Linked DNA regions of Sus scrofa. The protein of the gene in region 2 purifies or fractionates together with the protein of the main gene of each other region. This does not show direct contact. Links are inferred from orthologs where the notes say so. Each region holds a gene or a part of one and is shown on either strand. Other genes may lie near its edges.

Region 1 (4,135 bases), on a different chromosome or scaffold from region 2:
ATCGACACTCAACACCAACCACACTAACTTAGCAGTTTCTCAGAAAGCCAAGCACTCCTACTCTTTGGTCTTTGGCCTTGCTATTACTCTCTCCCTGGAATACTCTGGAGGTACACAGGACTTGTTCAAATCTATTAAAATTTTACCAGAGGCCCTTCCTGAGCACCCTATATAAAATAATTTTATTTTCCTCTGAAGCATTTAGACATACTATATATTTACTTATAGCCCACCCCTCCCCACCATATTAGCATATAATCCCATCGGAATATGAGTGCAGGGACTGTTCTGTTCAGTTATATCCCTAGTACCGGAACAGTCTGGTGACTAAATTTAACTTGTTGGGAATGCTATTAAATACATATAAAGCTAAATTGATGTACTCTTTCAGTCCAGAGAAAATGTTGCAAAAAGAATTGTGGAAGAGACAGAAGGGACCATGGTACATCCCAATCAGGAGCCTGCAGTGATAGCTGGGCAGGGGACAATTGCCATGGAAGTGCTGAACCAGGTAAAAGCTTACCTCTTGTTTAGCTACTGGTAATGCTAAACAGTGGGTTTAAGGCTGTAGAACCAATTATTTTATATGCACACATAAAATTGGTTATTAATAGACTTATTTATATTCTTTTCACTAAAGCTCCCCTTGGTAGATGCACTGGTGGTACCGGTAGGAGGAGGAGGAATGGCTGCTGGAATAGCAATTACAGTGAAGGTGAGAAAACAGCTTCTGGAGGACTTCCCACTTCAGGCATAGAAGTTTATTTTAGATCATAGTACATTGTGAGTATCTGCCCAACATTCCCTCCAAATTGCCATTCCTTCTCATCATCCCTTGGCACTTGAGTCAGAAGCCCCTTCTCTGCATCACCACTCCTTCCTTAATGAAAACTTTACAGCATAAAAGCAGTTACAGTGAGTGGCAATCTCACAGTCCTTTCTTTGAATTCCATCTCATCAACCTACAATCCAAGTTGGGTTATTCTTTTCCCAAGTCACCAGCAGAACCAGCTGTGTTCTAGGCAACACATGGTGGAATCCAATTTAAAGTGCTCAAAGACCCGGTTTCCATTACATCAATTAAAAGACTCTTTGGCAGAAATGTGTTAATCATCGTACTGCCTACTTTTTACTTCAAGCATGCAGGCAAAATGCTTTGGCCAGTTGTAAGGTATCTAATATTCCTCTTCCTAGGCTCTGAGACCTAATGTGAAGGTATATGCTGCTGAACCCTTGAATGCAGATGACTGCTACCAGTCCAAACTGAGAGGAGAACTGACCCCCAATCCTCAACCTCCAGACACAATAGCAGATGGGGTCAAATCCAGCATTGGCCTAAACACCTGGCCTATCATAAGGGACCTTGTGGATGATGTCTTCACTGTCACAGAGGATGAAATTAAGGTGAGGCTCCAAGAGGTAAAGAAATAACAAAAGAATGGAGCAACTTATGCAAAAACCCTTCCCTTTGTAAGTAGCAACTCACCCACTGGGGACTTGACTAGGTGGTTTCATGAATGTGGGAGGGTGCCCTAGATGTATCAAGATAACAGAAGTGTAGTTTGAATGGGGGGGGGGGGGAAAGCAAGCAAGCCCTGCCCGTTTCACTGGCAAGCACAAACATACAGCAATAAGAAAATTCAGACTGGGCATATATTCTCATCTGGCCTTTAACTTAAAAGGCCAACCAACTAGGCTCTTTCCCCGGCTATCATTTTACTAATTCTTACTCCCTTCCATATTAACAGTATGCAACCCAGCTGGTGTGGGAGAGGATGAAACTGCTTATTGAACCTACAGCTGGTGTTGGAGTGGCTGCTGTGCTGTCTCAGCATTTTCAAACAGTTTCCGCAGAAGTAAAGAACATTTGCATTGTGCTCAGTGGTGGAAATGTAGACTTAACCTCCCTAGCTTGGATGAGGCAGGCTGAAAAGCCAGCTCCTTAACATTCTGTTTAATATGTGCAAAAGGACAAAAAGGGATTCAATGTCTAGAACAGACACCTGGAAATTCTGTCTCCTGGTCACTGTCAACTTCCTAATCTTCCCCTCTTAAACACCTGTCAAACTCCTGATGTAGAATGACATTTCAGTAAGATTTAATAGTTTTCAGACTAAGTAGGGATAGAAAAACATCGATACTTAACTGAGACACCTTGTTAAGGCTAAGAAAGTCTTCTGCAAAGAGGAGTAGAGACCCCTAAGCCTATGCAGAAAACAAACTGTCCAGTCACAACCTACGGGCTCCCACCCCCAGAGTGCTAACTGGCAGCAACAAGACAGAAGCCCACAGAATCCATTATTCCATGTCCTCTTCAGGTACTGTTGAAGAGATCTCATTTTTCACCCAAGGTACTGGATCCGGTACATATGGATCATAAGTCCATTTGGGGAAAACTCGTTTATAGAGGTTCATCAGTACTGTGTCCTGAGATTTTAGCTTCCCATCAAAACTGCACTTCATGTGGCCATGAGTACCTAGAAAGAAAACAGAGCTAGTTGGTCAAATTGAAACAGAACAATTTTAAAGCAGTGGCCTTTTAACCCAATCATCATTTAGTAGCACTGGGGAAATCTAAACAAGATCCCAAATCCCACATTCTCTTACCTAAAGGCTCCTTGATGTATCCCCTACGTCCCCACTTTGTTCTCAGTTCCACTGGTTTAAACCACAGCACATCCTCTTAGAATGAAACACACACAGAAGACCAAGATGAAACATTTACCCACAAAATTAAACCCAACCTCACCCCACAGAGGCAGCTAGACCCCGTCCTTCACACCTACCTCTGCTGAAGAACATGTAACGCACCACGGCCATCTTAGTAAAAATTTTAAAAGGATGACCACTCAGAACAACTCTCTTGATGACCATTCTGTCTGGATCCACTGACAATAGATGGCCTGTGGCAATGAGACTGTGCATTCCTAAGGGGCAAAGGCAGAGGGGCAGGAAGTCTATTAAGTCAAAGCCTTCATTCAGCGTCCAGTCTATTTAAAGACCTATGCAAGATCTTTGAAAAATCTTTTTTTTTTTTCCCGTTAATGGCTATACTCACAGCATATGGAAGTTCCTAGGCCAGGGACTAAATCCGAGTTGCAGCTACTGTGCCAGGTTGGGTATGGAACCCATGCCTCCTCAGCAACCAAAGCTGCTGAAGTCAGATTCTTAACCTACTGTGCCACAGCAGGAATCCCCTTTTTCCTTTCCTTCCTTCTTTCTTTTTTAAAAAATTCAGGACATCTTAAAGAAGGGATATACTATGCTGCCCTCCTGGGTCCATGGCAAAGATGACTACGTGACATGCCTGCTGAGCCTGTCCTCAGAACCTAGCCTAAATATAGCAGCCTCTACCAATTAGCCAAGGTTTGCAAACAAGATAAAACCTTATTTGTCATCCCTGCCTCAGACCCACTCTGAGGCTGAGATTCAGACATTTTGAAAACAACCATTACCTTGCTCCCAAATGTAAATAAAGCAGTTTAAACTTATTAAGACTTGCAGGCCTATTTATCTCTGTGAACTCAACTTACCATTGCTGTTCTGTTTGAAAAGCAGCACAGATGCAGGAGGAAAGGTGATTGGGGCATATACTGTCACCACCAGGGCCATGTCAGCAGTCAAGAATCTCTGAAATTTATGTTTATCCGCTGCCATAATAGAGGTTAAAAAATAAAAACCAAAAAGTAATTTGAGAAACAATAGATAATCCAGAGGCCTATTATGACTGCAACTCTTAAACCTAAGGCAACTAGTGTTTCTTTATCCTACAAGTTTTCCAAATATCTTCTGGCCTCAATACAACCGAAAGATACAACTCAATCCTATCAGAGTGATTTTTCAACTGGAGGCAGAATCTTGGAGCTTGAACAAAAGTTTTTCAGGTGACTCTGATACCCATCACTTCTACCTCATTTGAGAATCAGTGCTTTACAGCAAAGCACCCCACTAACTCAACAGCTCTTAGTCTTGAGCAAGGACTGGCATACATTTCTATGAAGTGTCAGATAGTAATTATTTCAGGCTTTGTTCCAACTATTCAACTCTGTCATTGTAGCACAAAAAAGCACAGACAATACATTTTTAAAAATTAAATTTAAAAATACAACTGGGGAGTTCCCGTCGTGGCGCAGTG
Region 2 (3,818 bases):
CCGGGGATTGAACCTGTGTCCTGGCACTGCAAAGACACCGCCAATCAGGAACACACCTCATCAGCAACACCTGTATTTTTAATTTGCATACATGTTTTTACCCCTTTAATCATCTATTACTTGAATTAAGTCATCCTGTTGTACCTTCCTTTAGGTTAAATTTAAACCGAGGGAGTTCCCATCGTGGCGCAGAGGTTAACGAATCCGACTAGGAACCATGAGGTTGCGGGTTCGATCCCTGGCCTTGCTCAGTGGGTTAACGATCCGGCGTTGCCGTGAGCTGTGGTGTAGGTCGCAGATGCGGCTGGGATCCTGCGTTGCTGTGGCTCTGGCGTAGGCCAGTGGCTACATCTCCGATTGGACCCCTAGCCTGGGAACCTCCATATGCTGTGGGAACGGTCCAAGAAATGGCAAAAAGACAAAAATAAACAAATAAATAAATAAATGTGACCTCTAGTCAGAAAATGAAAAAATTAAATAAATTTAAACTGAATTTCAAGGCAATAGAAGGCTCTTTTAAATGAGCCTAAAACATAAATGCAAATGCACAAAATCACTAGCAGATTAAACAGTCTTATTTTTTATTAAAGTATAGCTAATATACAGTGTTGTGCCAATTTCTGCTATGTCTAATTATAAACATTAGTTATTGCAAAGCACTCTTACCAATTTAACTCCATGAACAACAACAAAAAATCAAAACCCTTCTAATGAAGCAAATCTTTTTCTTTTCCTATAGGAATGGCCAATGTCCTCATTTATACTTGCATGAAGTCGATGTTTAAAAAAATCATCTCTAAACCTCATTTCAAAATACTCTCAAGTTTGTTTCACAGCTAATTTTTTTTGGTTTAGAAAACTAAAATGTACAAAGATTTTATTGATTCTTTTTATCAGAGGTTACCTTCATAACACTTCAATTTAACTCTGCAACTAAGTCTTATACTTACACAAAACCCTACAAGGATATAGCAGTTGGACATTCCTTTAAGAATGTGTCCCAACGCTTAAGTAGAAGTCACCAAATCAAAAGTCGCATATCTTTCTCAAATATTCTTACTAGCTTCCATGTTAAGTAAGGGAAACCCATAAATTAATTCTCTGGTCTTTACAAGACATCACTCTTCAGTAAAAGAGAATACTAACATTTACACATTATATATGGCATATGCAGTTTCAGTTTACATCACACGAAAACACCAACTTTTCAACCTAAAAGTAGTCTTTTAATGAATCCCAGTTAGATATAATTTTTAAAAATACTGTTGTAACTCTGAAGGACTAATTTCTTAGAATATATGATACTGCAGTTTATTTTCCTTTTCAGGCAACTTATCTGCCCCATATAATCCTATGTAAAATTTGTCTCTCTTTTTTATAAACAGATTATTTACATGATTTTCTTAAAACAAAAATTGTAAATACAATCCAAGACACATCTGAACATTTTCAACCACAAAACTTCATTTTACCTCTTCACTCTTTGACTTATGAAGAACAAATCCCTTTTTCCACTGCCCATCAGCACCTTCATTTGGTTTTCGGATATTAAATTCTACTTTTGCCCGGTCCTTATTTTGAATAGCCTTCCACTCATCCAAAGTCATTTCTTTTGGACCCTCTTCCTTTACTTCTTCAACTTCGTTCTCCCTGTAAAAAATTTGTTTAAGTTTTACACCTGGTGGGAGCTGATAAAATCATGTAACTTCTAAGTAAGGAAGTTAATCTTGGCTGGTTGATAATCTTCTAGATTATTAAAAACCGGGAGAATCAGTTTTCTTTGAAACCCAATGGCTAACATATGACTTGACGGTGACAAGGAATTCAACATTTATTGAAATTAGTGAAAGTATGGATCACTACGGAACCTACAATTCATCTTCATAAATCCTTAAGTGACCACCTATCAGTTACACAATCTTGAATTGGCTTGACCAAAACATGTTCCTTAAAACTAGACATACACATGCTTAAAATCCTCAACCTAGGTTCTCCTAAATCAGTTTTAATTTCCATTCATTTCCCACAACACACAACACATAAAGTGAGTATGTGAAAGTAATCATCTAGGAGGCCTGTGAGCAACCAAGTTTCGTACTCTAAAATATAAAAGAACTGTTCCCCTATTCTTTATTTAATACTTAAGGCAAATCTTTAATTTCTACAAATCCTAAAATTTATATACTCCAACTTTCAAACCAAACTGTATATAGAAAGAAGACTGAAGTTTCACTAGTAATAGAACTCTCTACAAAACAAACTGGCTTCAATCCTTATCACCAAATCAGTTACTTCTAATTCTCTGGCTTTAACTATTATTTATTATCCCTTTCCCTTTTTACAGAAACAAAGCATGGGCCTAGGAATCCACTATTTCATTTCAATTTCCAATTGTCACCAAACAAGTTGTTTGCTATTTTGGGAGCCCCGCTTCTTTCCAAAGATAGCAGGTGATTCAGTCAGCCATAGAGCTCAAATATCTCCCATCCACACTACTCTTTTCTGTTTGACAAATCCTATTTTAAAACTTCTTAGACCAAGTTTACAGTGAATTGATGAGATCTTGGCTGTCAAGTCCAACCCTGTCAGTTTACAGATGAGAAAACTAAAGATCAAAAAAAAATCCCAGGTACCCATAAGTTATAACACAGCAAACAACAAAATTCAGCATACCCTTATCATACCATGGAACCATTAACACCTACTTTCAAAGGTTGTTGTAAGAATCAAATAAAACAAAGCAGCTCTAGGAACTCCACATAAGGAAACTGATCAAATTCAGCAGAAGTTGTGCTTACTAAATTTACACTTGCATCTGCAAGACAGTACTATGTTCAGATTCTCCCCTATTCTGGAATAAGACTTGAGGCTGCCCTAATCTTCATGTTCTTTAGACCACATATCACCTCCAATTTCAGTCCTGGGAACTGAACTAAGAATTTGCCTCCAACACCCTATCAATGCATCATTTACTTCTGGTAGAATCTTAGCAGGTTACTCTTAAAGTGATTTAAAGGTGAGCTCTTTATTAAGGGAACAGCATTTGTGTTCAGCATTGTGAAGTACTTAATGTTACAAAAGGTTTATTTAACTTACTATTTCATTATTAAACAAAATTAAGATTCCAGTTTCATACAAATGAACTTGTATCACCCCAAGTTCCATACATCAGTTAACATCATGTACTTTTATCTACTCTCTCCAGTAGTAGTAAATCATCAAATCCACTAAATAGGGTTTTCTAATCATTAATAGTGGTTCACTGTAAGAACAATTCTTTCTAGAGAAAAAGAAAAGTTTAGAAAAACACCCCCTCCCTGACTAATCTGAATATGTTCTGGTTAAGAAATTACTGACCTAAATAATCTGTAATGCAAGAATTTAAATCACATACTGAAGGAAATGACTGGCATATAACTTCTTATATCAATGGAAATTAGAGGAAGGCATTCAATTATTTCTAGTAGTATAATTTGAGTCTCTAAACTCTCCCACCCTTGAAAAAACAATTTCAAAACCACCTTCTACTTAAAAACTCAGAAAATAGAGAGGATTGAGAAAGCTAGCGAACTGGAGTACCTGCTATGGCACAGTGGGTTAAGAATCTGAATGCAGCAGCTCAGGTTAGATTCCTGGCCAAGTGCAGAGGGTTAAAGGATCCAGCACTGCTGCAGCTGCTATGGCTCAGATTGAACCACTGGCCTGGGAACGTCCATATGTGGTGGGTGCGGCCATTAAAAAAAATAAGAATAATAAAGAACGCTAGTGAACTGATAACATATTCTTCTGGCCCCTGCTCTCCTCGAACATGTTAAAAC

Evidence for each region.
Region 1: the proteins of SERBP1 (region 2) and TSR1 purify together in Homo sapiens (affinity purification with mass spectrometry; 3 studies listed by BioGRID and IntAct, with this or other methods). This does not show direct contact. The link is inferred for Sus scrofa from reciprocal best matches to the Homo sapiens genes SERBP1 and TSR1.

The regions. Positions count from the first base shown.
Region 1 is NC_010454.4:48,403,560-48,407,694, forward strand, and holds the end of TSR1 (pre-rRNA-processing protein TSR1 homolog), read right to left. Parts: exon of another isoform or gene 3,651-4,135; coding exon 3,534-3,650; exon of another isoform or gene 2,928-3,533; coding exon 2,787-2,927; exon of another isoform or gene 2,683-2,786; coding exon 2,608-2,682; exon of another isoform or gene 2,478-2,607; coding exon 2,299-2,477; 3' UTR 1,947-2,298; coding exon of another isoform or gene 1,749-1,946; 3' UTR 1,405-1,748; coding exon of another isoform or gene 1,195-1,404; 3' UTR 747-1,194; downstream 1-746. Other genes in the region: SRR (serine racemase), read left to right, coding at 392-511, 641-715, 1,195-1,404, 1,749-1,946. UniProt on the Homo sapiens protein: Required during maturation of the 40S ribosomal subunit in the nucleolus.
Region 2 is NC_010448.4:145,193,078-145,196,895, reverse strand, and holds part of SERBP1 (plasminogen activator inhibitor 1 RNA-binding protein), read right to left. Parts: intron 1,651-3,818; coding exon 1,473-1,650; intron 1-1,472. UniProt on the Homo sapiens protein: Ribosome-binding protein that promotes ribosome hibernation, a process during which ribosomes are stabilized in an inactive state and preserved from proteasomal degradation.